Linked DNA regions of Oryctolagus cuniculus. The protein of the gene in region 2 binds, or shares a complex with, the protein of the main gene of each other region. Links are inferred from orthologs where the notes say so. Each region holds a gene or a part of one and is shown on either strand. Other genes may lie near its edges.

The links. The genes of interacting proteins can lie anywhere in the genome.
Region 1: the proteins of SUMO3 (region 2) and SENP1 are in contact, whole or in part, in a crystal structure (PDB 6NNQ), measured with the Homo sapiens proteins. The link is inferred for Oryctolagus cuniculus from reciprocal best matches to the Homo sapiens genes SUMO3 and SENP1. Residues at the interface, in NP_008867.2 of Homo sapiens: Gln24, Ser53, Arg55, Gln56, Arg58, Arg60, Asp62, Gly63, Pro65, Asn67, Thr69, Asp70, Gln74, Glu76, Asp84, Phe86, Gln87, Gln88, Gln89, Thr90, Gly91, Gly92; in NP_001254523.1 of Homo sapiens: Gln440, Asp441, Glu446, Arg449, Leu450, Thr451, Lys455, Trp465, Leu466, Asn467, Asp468, Glu469, Asn494, Thr495, Phe496, Lys500, Arg511, Trp512, Lys514, Lys515, His529, Gly531, Val532, His533, Trp534, Gln597, Gly600, Ser601, Asp602, Cys603.

The regions. Positions count from the first base shown.
Region 1 is NC_091440.1:137,669,157-137,676,668, forward strand, and holds the start of SENP1 (sentrin-specific protease 1), read right to left. Parts: upstream 4,010-7,512; 5' UTR 3,710-4,009; intron 3,395-3,709; exon of another isoform or gene 3,211-3,394; intron 1-3,210. Other genes in the region: PFKM (ATP-dependent 6-phosphofructokinase, muscle type), read left to right, coding at 4,635-4,716, 5,263-5,385. UniProt on the Homo sapiens protein: Protease that catalyzes two essential functions in the SUMO pathway.
Region 2 is NC_091435.1:1,755,018-1,762,587, forward strand, and holds the start of SUMO3 (small ubiquitin-related modifier 3), read left to right. Parts: upstream 1-3,567; 5' UTR 3,568-3,729; coding exon 3,730-3,750; intron 3,751-5,899; coding exon 5,900-6,028; intron 6,029-7,570. UniProt on the Homo sapiens protein: Ubiquitin-like protein which can be covalently attached to target lysines either as a monomer or as a lysine-linked polymer. Does not seem to be involved in protein degradation and may function as an antagonist of ubiquitin in the degradation process.

The DNA.
Region 1 (7,512 bases), on a different chromosome or scaffold from region 2:
TGTCGCTGACGGGACGGGTGTGCTTCATGGTCGCCATGGCGAAGGACACGCACAAAGGGAGGGTGACAGCCAAGCACAGTTATCACCACCTCATTACCTAGTCCTGCCAGACAGGATCCCCACAGAATCTAGGCCTTAGATTTAGGCTTCAAGTGCATTTCCAAATGTTCAACCTAAAAAAAGGCTTCTATGTGTAAATTCTCCAGGTCATTCTTCCCTTTCTCTCTTCTTTTAATGGAGAATTCCCTGGGTTCCACATTAAGGGAGAAAATCACATCAATCAGTAAATTAGTGCTTTTTCCATGTTTCACTCTTTCAGGTCACTTCAACTTCTTTGTGTTTTTTATTTTTTTTATTAAGAAGATGCCAATCTAAAAGTTTGAAGCCCAGCACCACAATCCAATGTTACTGCCCTCTGCATTTTGCTGACATAGATGTGAAGACGAAAGCAAGTTAGAAACCCAGAGATTATGCCCAAAAAGGTTAAATGAGCCATCTGAAGTCACCGAGATGGAACCAAGGAAAGACCCAGGGAAAATGCACATTTCCAACCTCACACTTCCTTTCCTTTAACCCATCCTCATGCAAAGACCGTATAGTTTGCAAGTAATGCTTAGCTAAACCTGGGACTCCACACCGATTTATCACTTTAAACAATTAAAGCCCTACATTTACAGGGTCATACAAACCTATCTGGCTTCTCTAGTGTGCCATCAGTGGTTCATTTTTGCCAGTTTACACTTAAATTGGGAGAGGGAGTATTCACCCCAAGAATTTCCATGCAATGCTGGATCTGGCACCTTTCAGACCACCAAATGCTTTCAAGTATAAGAATTTTCCCCAGGGGCCGGTGCTATGGCATAGCAGGTAAAGCTGCCACCTGCAGTGCCAGCACCCCATAGGGATGCTGGTTTGAGTTCCCGCTGCTCCACTTCCTATCCAGCTCCCTGCTAATGCACCAGGGAAAGCAGTGGAGGATGGTCCAAGTCCTTGGACTCCTGTACCCATGTGGGAGACTAGGAAGAAGCTCCTGGCTTTGGATCAGCCCAGCTCTGGCTGTTGTGGCCATTTGGGGAGTGAACCAGCAGATGGAAGATTCTTTATCTTTGTCTCTCTGGCTTTCGAATTAAATTTTTTTTCCCTCGGGACCAGCACTTTGGTATAGCAGGTTAAGCCACCACTTGCAGAGCTGGCATCCCATGTGAGCTCCAGTTTGAGTCCCAGCTACTCCACCTCCAATCCAGCTCCCTGTTAATGTGCTGTGGAAAGCAATGGAAGATGGCCCAAGTGCTTGGGCCCCTCCCACCCACATAGGTGTCTTGGTAGGAGCTTCTGGCTCCTGATTTTGTCCTGGCCCAGCCCTAGTTAATGCAGCCATTGGGGAGTAAACTAGCAGATGGAAAAATCTTTTTCTGTGTAACTCTCCATTTCAAATAAATACGTAAGTTTTTAAATAAAAAATTTTTTCTCTTAAAAACAATTTTAGTAATTTCCTTGTACATACTGATCATTTAATTTACTGAAAGGATGTAAGCGGCCGGCGCCGGCATCCCAGGTTCTAATCCCAGTTGCTCCTCTTCCAGTCCAGCTCTCTGCTGTGGCCCAGGAGGGCAGTGGACGATGGCCCAAGGGCTTGGGCCCTGCACCCGCATGGGAGACCAGGAGGAAGCACCTGGTTCCTGGCTTTGGATGGGTGCAGTGCGCCGGCCGTGGTGGCCATTTTGGGGGGTGAACCAATGGAAAATGGAAAACCTTTCTCTCTGTCTTTAACTCTGCCTGTCCAAAAAACCAAAAAGGATGTAAACAATTACAGTATTTGAGGTGAATCAGATTAGAAACTGAGCAAAAGATAATTAATTGAGGGCCGGCGCCGCGGCTCACTAGGCTAATCCTCCGCCTAGCGGCGCCGGCACACTGGGTTCTAGTCCCGGTCGGGGCGCCGGATTCTGTCCCGGTTGCCCCTCTTCCAGGCCAGCTCTCTGCTGTGGCCAGGGAGTGCAGTGGAGGATGGCCCAGGTGCTTGGGCCCTGCACCCCATGGGAGACCAGGAGAAGCACCTGGCTCCTGCCATCGGATCAGCGCGGTGCGCCGGCCGCGGCGGCCATTGGAGGGTGAACCAACGGCAAAGGAAGACCTTTCTCTCTGTCTCTCTCTCACTGTCCACTCTGCCTGTCAAAAAAAAAAAAAAAAGATAATTAATTGAAAATCTAAAAAATGATACAGTTCTGACTGTAACATAATGTAAATGTACAGGAAAACATGTCTGAGTTCACACAAAGAGGGGATTACAATTGAGACTGTTTAGGCTATAATGAAGTCAGTCGAAAACATGTACTTAGGGCAGGCACCGTGAAATCCACACTACCCAGGACCAAGATGAGGCTGGGACAATTTAGGGTATCACTCTACCCTGGGAAGCAACTGTGTGTATGACACTGTACCACACCCGCCCACCTCGGTCATCTCTCCCAGTTGGCCCCTAGCATCTTGAAGGTCCTAAGCACTGGCTATTTAACATACACGGACATAACACTGTGCACCAGCTGCACGGGCGGTTGCGGGGGACACCAACAGAGCAAGGACAGGTCTCTGCCTGGGAGAAGCCAGGGACGGTGAGGCGGGGCCTTCCTAGGTGCGCAGGTGGGGGACTTGCGGGGCCGCAGCCAGGAGTTACATCACCGTAGCCAGAAGCAGCAGAACCTGTTTGTGTGCCATCCACCCCCTGACTTCACCCCTCAGCGAACAGACACCAGTGGGGTAATTAACTGAACAGGCAGGAATGAAGCTTCCACGACGCAGGGGGAGGGGTCGGTCCCTCGGCCGGGGGAAGGTGAAGGGAGCGCATCTCAGCAGAGGCTCGAGACCCCCGAGTCAGAGTCGGCGCGGCCAAAACCGAGGGGATGGGGAGCTCTCCCCCGCCCGGAAGAGCCCACGCCAACAAAGACCCCGGCCAGAGTCGTGAGCCCCCACCCGCGGCTTTCGGTAGATTTCAAGGAATCACCACCGCCCCCGGACACAATGCGTGAACTCCACGTGAACCGCAACAACTAACGAGGCTGACTCCAAAGTGATAAAGGAGCCGGCTACTGCCGGCCAGATAGTGGGAATCCTGCAGAGGCGCTGATAAGCAGAAATCACCAAGCTCGGGACCTGCTCGGATCCGGAGGGCTCACGTCGGGGTCGCCGGGGAGGCGGCGCCCCAGGAATTACCGGGCGGCGATGAGCCGGGTCAGCGGGTCTCCCGCCTGGGCAGGGGCGTCCGGCGTCTCTGTCTGGCGGCGGCACTAGCGGTCGCACATCTCGGGGAGGGACCGCCGGGCAACCGCGCAGGGGAGAGGCGCGCGCGGCACGCACGAGCAGTCGCGAGCCATCACTGGGTCAAGGCAGGCAAGAGGTGAGCGGGGGCGCGCCGCGCGGAGCGCCCCGAGGGAGGAGCCCCGCTCCGGCGGGAAAGCCCCACCGGGGGGCGGCGCCGAGTGGGGCCGCAGTCGGCGGCGCGGCGCGCGGACCCCCGGCCTCGCGGCGCCCGCGAACCGCCACCCGCCGGCCCGCGGCGCGCCAGGGGAAGGGGCGCCGGGGGCGGGGCCGGGGGGACGCGCCGGCCCGACGCCGCCTCGCCCCCTCCCGGCCGGGGCCAGGCGGCCCGACTCGGCCTCGCGGCCCAGCTCCCGCCATCCTCCCCCTCCCCCTGCTTCCCGCCGCCACTCACCGAACCGGAACCGGCTGCTATGCGAGGGGGTTTCCGGCCGGTCGCGGGACGCAAAACCCGGGAACCTCCGCGAACCGGAACCGCTTTCACAACGCCGGAAGGCCCGCTGGCGACAGCGGCGGGGGGGGGGGTGTCAGCGGGCTTCGGGGCCCGCGGGACGCCTGCGCGGTGCGGCGAGGCCTCGGAAGGCGAGGGAGCGTTGACTGCTGCGGTCACGACTTCCCTGCTGCCCCCTGCTTGTGCTGTTTCTCTTCCTCAGGCTCGGAATACTTGGCGCGCCCTTGGTCCTTTCTTTTCTCTGTCCCTCGGCCCCCTTACCCGCCGCTCTCTGGTTCCGCCCCGCCGTCCCGGCTCGCGCTGCGGTTTCCATGGCAGCCCGTTGGCGGCCCGGGTCTGCGGGAACTTGCGGGCGGCTGCCCTGAGAGGAGGGGACCCGGGGTCCCGATAGGTCTCAGTTTGTGGCGGGTCCCGTGGAGGCTTACAGAGCGTGCGCACTCGAGAAGAGGCAGTCAGAGCTGGCTGAGGCTAGCAGGTTCCTCACTTGGCAGCGCACCGCGCTTGATTAAGTCGGGGGCGCGGGGGGCGCTTTGGGGGCGGCCCTGGCGGCGTGTGGAAACGCAGGCCTGCTTTCCTGGGTGGACCCGGGCCTTCGCTCCGGGAGCACACTGGCTGACCTGCAGCCCGTGCCATGCTGAGGGGGTCCGCTTGTTGGTTCATTCAGACTGGCGGGCCTTGCCTGACCAGGCCTGTCCCGCGGTGCTGAGGCGGGCTGGTGAGGGCCACCTGGCGCGCCAGTGTCTGGATGGCTCCACGCTAGGGCCTCGTGCCGGTACCGTTGGACATACCTGCTCCTGCCAGTCATGGACACCTAATCATGGCGCGATCTGCTCATTTGGACTTAATTCTGTCTCTCTAGGAGACAGCCATGCGTGAAGAGGAATTTCATCTGAAATTTTTCATGTGTGTGATTCGGTCTCACCAGGTAGTCAGGACTCCTCAAAGCACAGGTACCTGAGTCTCCTGACGGTGCTCCTGCGCACTGCCTGGGTTCTTGGATGGGAGTCTCAGAACAGGCGTCAGGGGCAAGTGGCCAGGTGTGTTCCCTTGTCTTACCTTTTCCTAACACAAGCACCTGCATAAGTGTGTGGATAGGCCCAAGCAGGTAAGGAGGATTTGGGAGCTGAGAGAGAACCAGAGGCAGAGCCCACGAGCTGGCTGTTGGCTTCTGGGTCCTTAGTCTAGGCTCACCTCTGGGAGTCCCAGTTCCCACTGTCATTGACACCCCAAACCTGTAAAGTCAGTCAAGCCCCAAGGAAAAATGACCTCTTCCTCGGCAAGTATCTGGCTGTGTTCTGCTTTTCCCGTTTATGTCAGAGGGATAGATTGCTTTGGACGAAAGATGGTTGTTGAGAAGAGTCACTGCTTCTCTTATTTTTCACTGGATTTATGGAAAGAGTGTCATGGACAGCTGAGAGTCAGAAAATGAACGGGAGGAAGGAGTGCTCCTCCCTGAGTCTCACCTCGAGGGTAACCCAGGACTCTTTGCTTCTCAGCTGCGGAAGCTTCGACTTCCAACAGGCTCATACCAAGGCCACCACCCAAGACAGATGCCTCCCAGAGTCTGTACACTGATGATGACCCAGGCACCGAGGAAGGCATACCTCATCTTCAAACTGGTGAGGCATGCGGGGAAATGAGGGGTAGCAATGTGCAAAGGAGTGTTGGAGAGTGAGGTACTCAAGCGCGGGTGGTCAGCCAGGGTAGACCTACCAAACTCGAAATAAGAGCTAAGACACAGGGAGAAAGTGTGAGTGTGTGAGAAAGGGGAAGAGAGAGGTCGTTTGGAAAACTAGAGAAAGGAACACCCACCTCAGGAAGCACAGGTTTTTTTCCTCTTTACTGCATCAGTTGTCCCCTCATCTGTGAGTTGCTGGTTGGCTTCCCGAACTTCCGTCAGCAAGTTTGATATACAAGCATGTGAAATATTATTTTTAGTTAATGTTTATTTATATATTTATATCTACTTGAAAGGCAGAGCAACAGAGAGAGATTGAGAGGGAGAGAGAGAGAGCTTCCATCTACTGATTCACTTATCAAATACCTGAAACAGCCTGCCTGAGCCAGGCCAAAGCTGGGAGCCAGGAACTCTACCCAGGTCTTCCATGTGGTTGGCAGGGACCCAAGCATTTGAGCCGTCACTGCTGCCTCAATGTTGAGTTCACAAGCAATTTATATTAAAGCTTAGAAACAATTCTTTTTGATTAGGACAGGGCTTGTGGTGCAGCAGGTTAAACCACTGCTTGGGATGCCACATCCCATGTTGAAGAGTGGTTTGACCCTGCTTCCAATCCATTGCCCTTCTAATGTACACCCTAGAAGTAAGCAGGTGATGACTCAAGTACTTGGGTCCCTACCATCCACACAGAGACCCAAGTGGAGTTCTAGGCTCCAGACTTTGTCCTGGCCCAGTCCTGGCTGTTGTGGAAATCTGGGGAGAAAACCAGCATATGGAAGAACTCTTGTCATTCTACTTTTTATAGTGGATGAAAATAAGTAAATATTTTGAAAGTATGTGTATATCAGAATCAGTTGACTGCAGACATGTGTTGAATTCCCTCTGTTGTCTCCAGTAATACACTAGAAGTGATAGTTTATGATGCATGTGGTAGGCCTGCCCTTGTCATTGTTCTGATGGTTTACCTTAGAGAATATTTAGTTCAACTCTTGTATTTTCAGAAGGAATTTAGGACTAAAAAGGTCTTCCTTGAGATTCAGCAATTTCATTAATCACTCCCAGCACCTATTAAATATATAACAGTATTTGCTCATAATTTTTAGCATTTGTCATTTGAAATCATGACTGGGAGAGCTGGTGATCAAGGAAAGGAAGTGGAAGGAGCAATGTGTAGGGTAAGAGCTTGGGAACATTGGTTCACAATGTTGAATTTCAAAACGAGATGCTCTAGAGATGGAGAGAAAGGAAGGGCTTGTTTGTGGAGGCTGGCACTGTGGTCCTGCACAGTCTGCATTAGTACAGTCTCCTTAGTGTACCCAGACTCGACCACACTCACGGGAAAGTGGCTTCTCACAAGAATTCCAATTTGTTCAGGTTTGGGCATTATCTATCTATCCGGAGCCACTCTGTGTGGTTTCGGTCCAAAGCCTTGCTTTGCCCATGCATAGAAGGCATCTAGAAACAAGCATTAAACCCAGCTGCTGGCTTTCTTGAATTTGTGCTTGTGATTTTCCATTTGTCCTCATCTTTCCTGCCTCCCCGTTCTCCTGCTGGCTCTAGTCCCAATACCTCAGACTTCCTACATTGAACCTGCTTCTGTGGTTTGAGCTCAGAATTATCCCATGGACAAAATACTGATGTATACTTCCTGTCTTTAAACACTGGGGCTAGGCTGGGTGTTCAGCTTAGCATTTAGGTTTCCACTTAGCATGGATGCATCCTGTATCACAGCACTTGATTTGAGTTGTGCACCCCAGGGAGGCAGGAGTGGTTGATGATGGCTCAGGTACTTGGGTTCCTGACATCCACGTGGGAGACCCAGATTGAGTTTTGAGCTCATGGCTTCTGCCTGGGCCAACCGGAACTGTTGTGGGCATTTGAGGGGTGAATCGTTCAATGGAAGCTATCTCTCTCTGTCTTTCAAATGAAAATAAGTAGATAAAAAATTATAAAAACTATCACTTAATCAAATTTATCCAATCCGTTATTTTCTTTCTTTTCTTTTTTTTTTTTTTTTAAGGTTTTTGTATTTATTTGAAAAGCAAAGTCACAGAGAGAGTGATCTTCC
Region 2 (7,570 bases):
CTCCCAACTCATATGCTGCAGCCCTGGCCCCTGCGTGGCTGCATCTGGGGATGGGGCTTTGGGGAAGTAACTGAGGGCACAGGTAGGAGGCCGGATGTCAGGACTGCTGCCCTCGTGAGAGGCGGAAGAACACCGAGGTGCCAACCTCCTCCCTCCACACACACAGAGGGACGCTCCCAGGAGGACACGGCAAGGAGGCGGCGGCCTGCAGGCCACGAGTGAGGCCCACCAGAGAAGCCGACCCCAACAGCACCTTGATTTTGTAGCTCTAGCCTTCAGAACTGTGATACGACAGGTGTCTGTTGTTTAAACCATGTGGGGTGTGTGTGATGTGTGCATGCATGTAGTGTGTGTTGTATGTATGTGATGTGAGGTGTGTATGAGAGTTGTGTATGTGTGTGGTACATGTGTGGGGTGTGTACGTGATGTGCATGTGTCATGTATGTGTGTGATGTGTGCATATCATGTGTGATATAGTGTATGTGGTGTGTGCATGGTCTATGTGTGTGATATGGTATGTGTGTATCTGGGGTGTATGTGATGTGGTATGTGTATGATGTGTGTGTGATGTATGTGTGTATGTGGTATGTATGATGTGTGCATGATGTGGTGTTTGTATATGTGAGTATGTGGTATGTGATGTGTGTGTGAGACATGTGGGGGGAATGTGGTATATGTGTGGTGTATGTGTGTATGTGATGTGTTTGTGTACGGGTGGTATGTGTGATGTGTATATGTATGTGGTGTGTGTGATGTGTATATGTGGTATGTATGTATGTGGAGTGTCTGTGATGTATGTGTATGTGGTGTGTGTATGTGGGGTACAGGATGTGTGTGTGGGATGTGGTGTGTGTGTGGGATGTGGTATGTGTGTATGTGGTGTGTGTATGTGGGGTACGGGATGTGTGTGGGGGATGTGGTGTGTGTGTATGTGGTGTGTGTATGTAGGGGGTGTGTGATGTGTGTGTGGGATGTGGTGTGTGTGTGGGATGTGGTGTGTGTGTATGTGGTGTGTGTATGTAGGGGATGTGTGATGTGTGTGTGTGTGTGGTATGTGTTTGTGGGGTACGGGATGTGTGTGGGGGATGTGGTGTGTGTGTATGTGGTGTGTGTATGTAGGGGGTGTGTGGTGTGTGTATGTGGGGTGTGTGATGTGTACATGTGGTATGTGTGTATGTGGTGTGTGTATGTAGGGGGTGTGTGATGTGTGTGTGTGTGTGGTGTGTGTATGTGGGGTACGGGATGTGTGTGGGGGATGTGGTGTGTGTGGGATGTGGTATGTGTGTGTGTGGTGTGTGTATGTGGGGTACGGGATGTGTGTGGGGGATGTGGTGTGTGTATGTGGGGTGTGTGATGTGTATATGTGGTGTGTGTGTATGTGGTGTGTGTATGTAGGGGGTGTGTGGTGTGTGTATGTGGGGTGTGTGATGTGTACATGTGGTATGTGTGTATGTGGTGTGTGTGGGATGTGGTATGTGTGTGATGTGGGTGTATATGTGGGGTACGGGATGTGTGTGGGGGATGTGGTGTGTGTATGTGGTGTGTGTATGTAGGGGGTGTGTGATGTGTTGTGCATGTGGGGTACGGGATGTGTGTGGGGGATGTGGTGTGTGTATGTGGTGTGTGTATGTGGTGTGTGTGTATGTGGTGTGTGTATGTGGGGTACGGGATGTGTGTGTGTATGTGGTGTGTGTATGTAGGGGGTGTGTGATGTGTGTGTGCATGTGGGGTACGGGATGTGTGTCGGGATGTGGTGTGTGGTACGTGTGTGTGCTGTGTGGTACGTGATGGGGTGTGTGTGTGTTTAAGGCAGCCCGAGTTGAGTAACCAGCTTGCTGCTGGTCACCAAATACCTCAAAGGAAATCCTCCCTCCTCTTTCTGGGATCTTTGCTTCTCAGAGAAGACCTTCCGGTTATCAGTGACGTCACTTTCAGTGGTGACATTATGTGAACTAATTTCTTGTTCTAACAGCTCTGGGCGCTGTGTCTGGGTCGCAAACTTTTGCTTTTAGCCCCAGAAACCGGGATGTGGCTTCCACCCACCACCTGCCGCAGTCAGCTGTGTCGGGGGGGGGGTAAGGACATGTGATCGTCCACAGGTCATGGCGTCTCTAGCGCAGGCTGTGCTGTTGGTCTCTGGACACCGTCCACCATGGCAGCAGGGGGCCGGGCGCCAGAAGAGACCAAGCCCTACCCGGAGCCTGTGGGCTGGGAAGCTGGGTCTGGGCGCACCTCTCACGGCCAGACTTCAGCAGTCTTTTTCTCTCTGATTTTACTTATTTATTGCAGACAGAGAGAAGTCTTCCATCTGCTGCTTCTCTCCGCAACGGCCGAAGCTGCACCGATCCGAAGCCAGGGTCCTGGAGCTTCTTCCGGCCTCCCACATGGCCGCAGGGCCCCAAGGACTTGGGCCTGCTGCTGCTGTCCCAGGCCACAGCAGGGAGCTGGATCGGAAGAGCGGCCGCTGGAAACTGAAGGCGCCCACAGATGCCGGCGCTGCAGGCGGAGGCTCAGCCCCAGCCCCAGCCCCAGCCCCAGCCCCAGTAACCTTTGCTCTTAATGGTGGCCCTGCCCAGACGTTTGAGGGTGGAAGGGGGCTTGGGAGATGCCCTGCGGCTCCGCAGCGTTACCAGGAGGTGAGTGGCACCTGTCTGCTGGCCTGCTCAGGCAGGATGGAAACGGTTCCGAGCCTTGGGCTGCGGCTCATCCTGGTGCCGCCCACCGGCCCCTCCATCCGAGGTGATTAAGGTCGGGGGTGGGCGTGCCTTCCGCGGTTCCGTGGGCCCCCATCTTGCATGGGCCACGCGGCCAGGTGCTCGAGCTCCCACCCGTGGTGACACCCGGCCTGTGGTTTCACCTCCCACCGCCTCGGTTTTCTCATACGTGAATGGGTTGTTGCGAGGACTAGGTGTGGACAGCATTCTAGAAGTCAGCCAAACCACCGGGAGGGGGCTCCCCATGGTGGAGAGTGGACGCCCCAGAGGAGGCGCCGGCCAGGGAAGTGGCCGGGAGGAGAGGACCTGGTGACCCCAGCCCTGTCTGCAGAAGCCTGCGTGATGTGGACAGAGGACACAGGTCCCCTCCAGTCGGGGAAGGGCCTCTCCCGAGCCCCCCCCACCGCCTTTCCTTTACCCCCTAGAGAAATGCAGCCCCGCAGAAGTGGGGGGTGCGTGGCCTGGCCTCGGCCTGCACAGCTCAGAGGCCTGGGGCCGCGCGCGGGCGGGGGGTTCCCAAGGGGACTTGCAGGTGGCTCCAGGGCCCCGAGGCCCGAACTGGACCCTGACCCTGCCCACGTCAGCGCAGCCACTCCGGAGCCCAGGCCTGGCCCTCACGTCCCCGCCCCCAAGCCCGATCCCGGGCCCTGGGCTCCCCCAGCCGTGCACTCCCTGCGCGTCCCCGGGGCCGGGCACCCGCGACAGCCTGCGGCCCCGGGTCCCACGCGCGCCCCCGGGCGCCCAGACTGCGGGGTCGCGCGGGGACCCGCCCCGTGACGCACTTCCAACCGCCGGGAACCGCGGCCCGCCCGGGCGCGCGCCCGACGCCCCAGGGCGCGCGCCTCGTGCACGCGCGCCCGCCACGTGACCTCCCCCGGCCAACCGGCGCGCCGGGATTTGAGGGATAAAGCGCGGCCCCGAGGGCAGTTGCGGCGGGAGAGCGGCGGCCCGGAGAGCGACTGCCCCGCTCGCGCTGCTGCTGCCGCCGCCGCCGCGACCGCGACCGCGCGCAGCCATGTCCGAGGAGAAGCCCAAGGTAAGCCGCGGCCCGCCCGCCGCCCGCCGCCCCGGGGCACCCGCGCCTCCGCTCCTGGCAGGCCCCGTCCCCACCCGCCGTGGCCACGGCGCCCACGAGCCCCGCGCCCGGGCCCACGCCGCACGCCCGCCCCTCCCCCACGGGCCTCCGCGCCCCTCCCCCACCGCGGGCTCCGCGGCGCGCCCCGCCCCGTCCTCGCCCCGCCCCGACAGCGTCTGTCCCGGAGCCCCGCCCCTGCTCTGCACCCGTCGGAGCTCCTCCCCGAGCCCGCCCCCTTCCGCTTCTCGAGCCCCGCCCCTTGCCGGTTTCGAGCCCCTCTAGTCCTAGCCCCGTCCCGTCCTAGCCCCGCCCCCAATAGGTCTCTCCCGGAGACCCGCCCCCTTTCTGGTCTCGGGCCTCTTACGTCATAGCCCCGCCCCGAGAAGCCCCGCCCTGACAGCGTCTCTCCCGAGCCCCGCTCCAAGCCCCGCCTCCTGGCCCCGCCCCCGCTGTGCGCCCCCTGGCGCGCGTCCTCGAGGGCGTGTTCGCGTGGCCCCGTCCTCCGTCCAGGTTTTCCCGCGCGGTGGCCCCTCTCCTGAGAGAGTGGGAGTAGCCGGGGTCGGTAGCCCGCTGCGACCCCGGATGTGCTGCCGTCTCCCAGCGCGGCCCCGGGGTGCGGCCCTTCCCCGTCACAGCCCCAGGGTGCTCCCCCTCCCCGTCATAGCCCCAGGGTGCTCCCCCTCCCCGTCATGGCCCCGGGGTGCGCCCCCTCTCCCTCTAGGTCCCAGGGTGTGCCCACCTCCCTGTCACAGTCCCAGGGTGCTCCCACTCCCCGTCACAGCCCCAGGGTGCTCCCCCTCTCCCTCTAGGTCCCAGGGTGCGCCCACCTCCCTGTCACAGTCCCAGGGTGCTCCCACTCCCCGTCGCCGCCCTGGGGTGCGCCCCCTCCCTGTCACAGCCCCAGGGTGCTCCCCGTCCCCGTCACAGCCCCAGGGTGCTCCCCCTCCCCGTCACGGTCCCGGGGTGCTCCCCCTCTCCCTCTAGGTCCCAGGGTGCACCCCTCCCCGTCACAGCCCCAGGGTGCTCCCCCTCTCCCTCTAGGTCCCAGGGTGCTCCCATCGTCCCGGCCTGGGGTGGGCCCCTTCCTGTCCCGCCCCGAGGGCTGCCCTGGGTCAGGCCGGCAGTCCTTGGGTAGGTGGAGGCGGAAGCTCCGGTCTCTGAGCACGTGCTGGGGACCTGGGGCTCCGTGCTGGGGACCTGGGGCTCCTGCTGCAGCTGGGGTCAGAGGTGAGCAGCCCCCTTCACAGGTGAGGGAGGAGGCTGGAGCCCAGCCCCTGGCCGGGCCCTGCTTGGGTGAGGGAGGAAAGCCGGCATCTGGCCACAGCCTCTAACGTGTGCCCAGGGCAGGGCCCCCCGGCCCAGGTCCTCGCCCATGGCATAAACTTGCCGGTGGACGCCAGCTCTGCTCTGGCCGTGGGGCGTGGGCGTGCGGGGAGGCAGCCTTGTGGTCAGATGGGAAAACCATTTCTGCCCCCCAGAATACTGACCACAATGAATTGGGGCAATTGGTTTTAGGACTTCTTTTCCTCTTTTAAAAAAAGATTTTTTTCTCTCTGTCTCTCACTGTCCACTCTGCCTGTCAAAAAAAAAAAAAAAAAGATTTTAAAGTGTGTTTACTTGAGAGTCAGAGACACAGAGAGAGGGTCTCCCGTCGGCCCTGTGCGTATCCCAGATGCCTGCAACGGCGGGGCTGGGGCCGGGAGCTGGCAGCCCCACGCACGTGTCCGCACCTGCCCGGGCCGCATGGCCCTCCTGGCCGCTGCCGCGTGGACCGCAGCTTCCCTCCCTCCTGTCAACACTGCCTTCTGCTTCTCTGAAGTCACGCACAGCTGCGTGCAGTGTGTGGTTCTGTTAGTTTTGTAAAAGTGACTTTCAAACGAAGATGGGTTTTCCGACTTCTCCTGGGCCCTGCAGGCTCGGGCGTGCTGCTCCCCCGGGACGCCCAGCGGCTGGGGGTGAAAGTCCGTTCTGTGCCAAAACAAAGCAGCCGCCTGCTGGAGGGGCCTGGACGGAGGCGCCGGTTAGGTGGTGGCCATGACGTCAGTGAAGCCCGGCGCCCCTCAGCTCCTGGAGAGCGCCGGATCCTTAGAGGTGTTTCCTGTCCCTGCAGGAGGGCGTGAAGACCGAGAATGACCACATCAACCTGAAGGTGGCCGGGCAGGACGGCTCCGTGGTGCAGTTCAAGATCAAGAGGCACACCCCACTGAGCAAGCTGATGAAGGCCTACTGCGAGCGGCAGGTGCGGCGCCCCCCGGCTGCCTTGCCCAGGGGCCTTGCCCAGGGGTCTCGTCCCGGTGGCCCTGTAAACGGACAGGTGGCGCTCACCGTGGCGGGCCCTTCTGCTGAGACGCCCTCTGGGGCAGGTGCGGCGCCCCCCGGCTGCCTTGCCCAGGGGTCTCGTCCCGGTGCCCCTGTAAACGGACAGGTGGCGCTCACCGCGGGCGGGCCCTTCTGCTGAGACGCCCTCTGGGGCCGGTGCCTTCCGATGCACTGCCGGGCAGGTCCCGCGTCGCTCCTCGCCTTACTTCTGCCCGTCAGCAGTGTGCTTTGCCAGCTCGTTTAGCAACGGCGAGAAAATGATGGATCTCCCCCAGTTTCCCAAACAGCGAGCCGCCTCAGCAGCACCCCCCTGTGGTCAGTCAGAACGGCCGTTTCTGGTGGCTAGCGTTCGTCTCACCAGCTCATGGGTCGTACACGTCTGTGCTTCGACGGTCGTGGCGTTCCAGTCCGTGCCCAGCGTGCTCGTCCTGGGGAGATGGGCATCGGTCCAGTCCGTTGCAGAATTCCTGCCACTGCATGGCCTTGCTGACTCACGGCTGTGCTGGGACCTGTATGGCGCCTGCCCTGCCAGCCCGCCAGCCCAGCGCTGCCGTTGCTTGTTCCTTTGAGTGGCAGCTCAGAGCATCTGCTGACACTTAGCATGAGGCTGCCTTTCTTGATTCCTTTGAGAATATAGTGATTGCTACTTTTTTTTTTTTTTTTGGTGTATTTATTTATTTGCAAGGCAGGGTAACAGAGAGCGAGTGAGTGAGCGAGCTTCTACCTAGTACTTCACTCCCCCGATGTCTGCAAAAGCTGGGGCTGAGCCAGCCTGAGTGAGCCAGAATCGCCACCTGGCTCTCCCACGTGGGCGACAGGGACTCCGGTCCTTGAGCCGTCACCGGCTGCTCCGGGGCGCGTTAGCAGGGAGCGGCCTTGGAAGCAGAGCAGCTGGGACTGGGACTGGCGGGTGACCCAGGCGGCAGCTTAGCCCCCACTGTTACTGTTTGGTTTTGCTCCGTTGGTTTGGTAGTTCTCGCTTTTGGGTTTTTTAAAGGATAAAACGCTTTGCAACAGTTCTCTGCCGCCTTTTCCCGCCCCACGTTTGAAGCCTGGCCCCTGGGAGGCGTCGCTGCCGACTCCTTCAGCTTTCCCTTTCACTCAGGGTTGGGAAATTTTGCGGTTTGTTCCCTGTCTCCTGGGCTTATTTATTTATTTATTTTAAGATTTATTTATATCTGAAAGGCAGAGTTACAGAAAGGCAGAGGCAGAGAGAGGTCTTCCACCCACCTGTTCACGGCCGGAGCTGGGCTGATTGAGCCAGGAGCTTCTTCCAGGTCTCCCACGCGGGCACAGGGGCCCAAGGACTCGGGCCATCTTCTGCTTTCCCAGGCCACAGCAGAGAGCTGGATTGGAAGAGGAGCAGCTGGGACTCGAACCGGCACCCACATGGGATGCTGGCACTGCAGGCAGCAGCTTTACCTGCTACGCCACAGCGTCGGCCCCTGCTTGGTTTCTATCA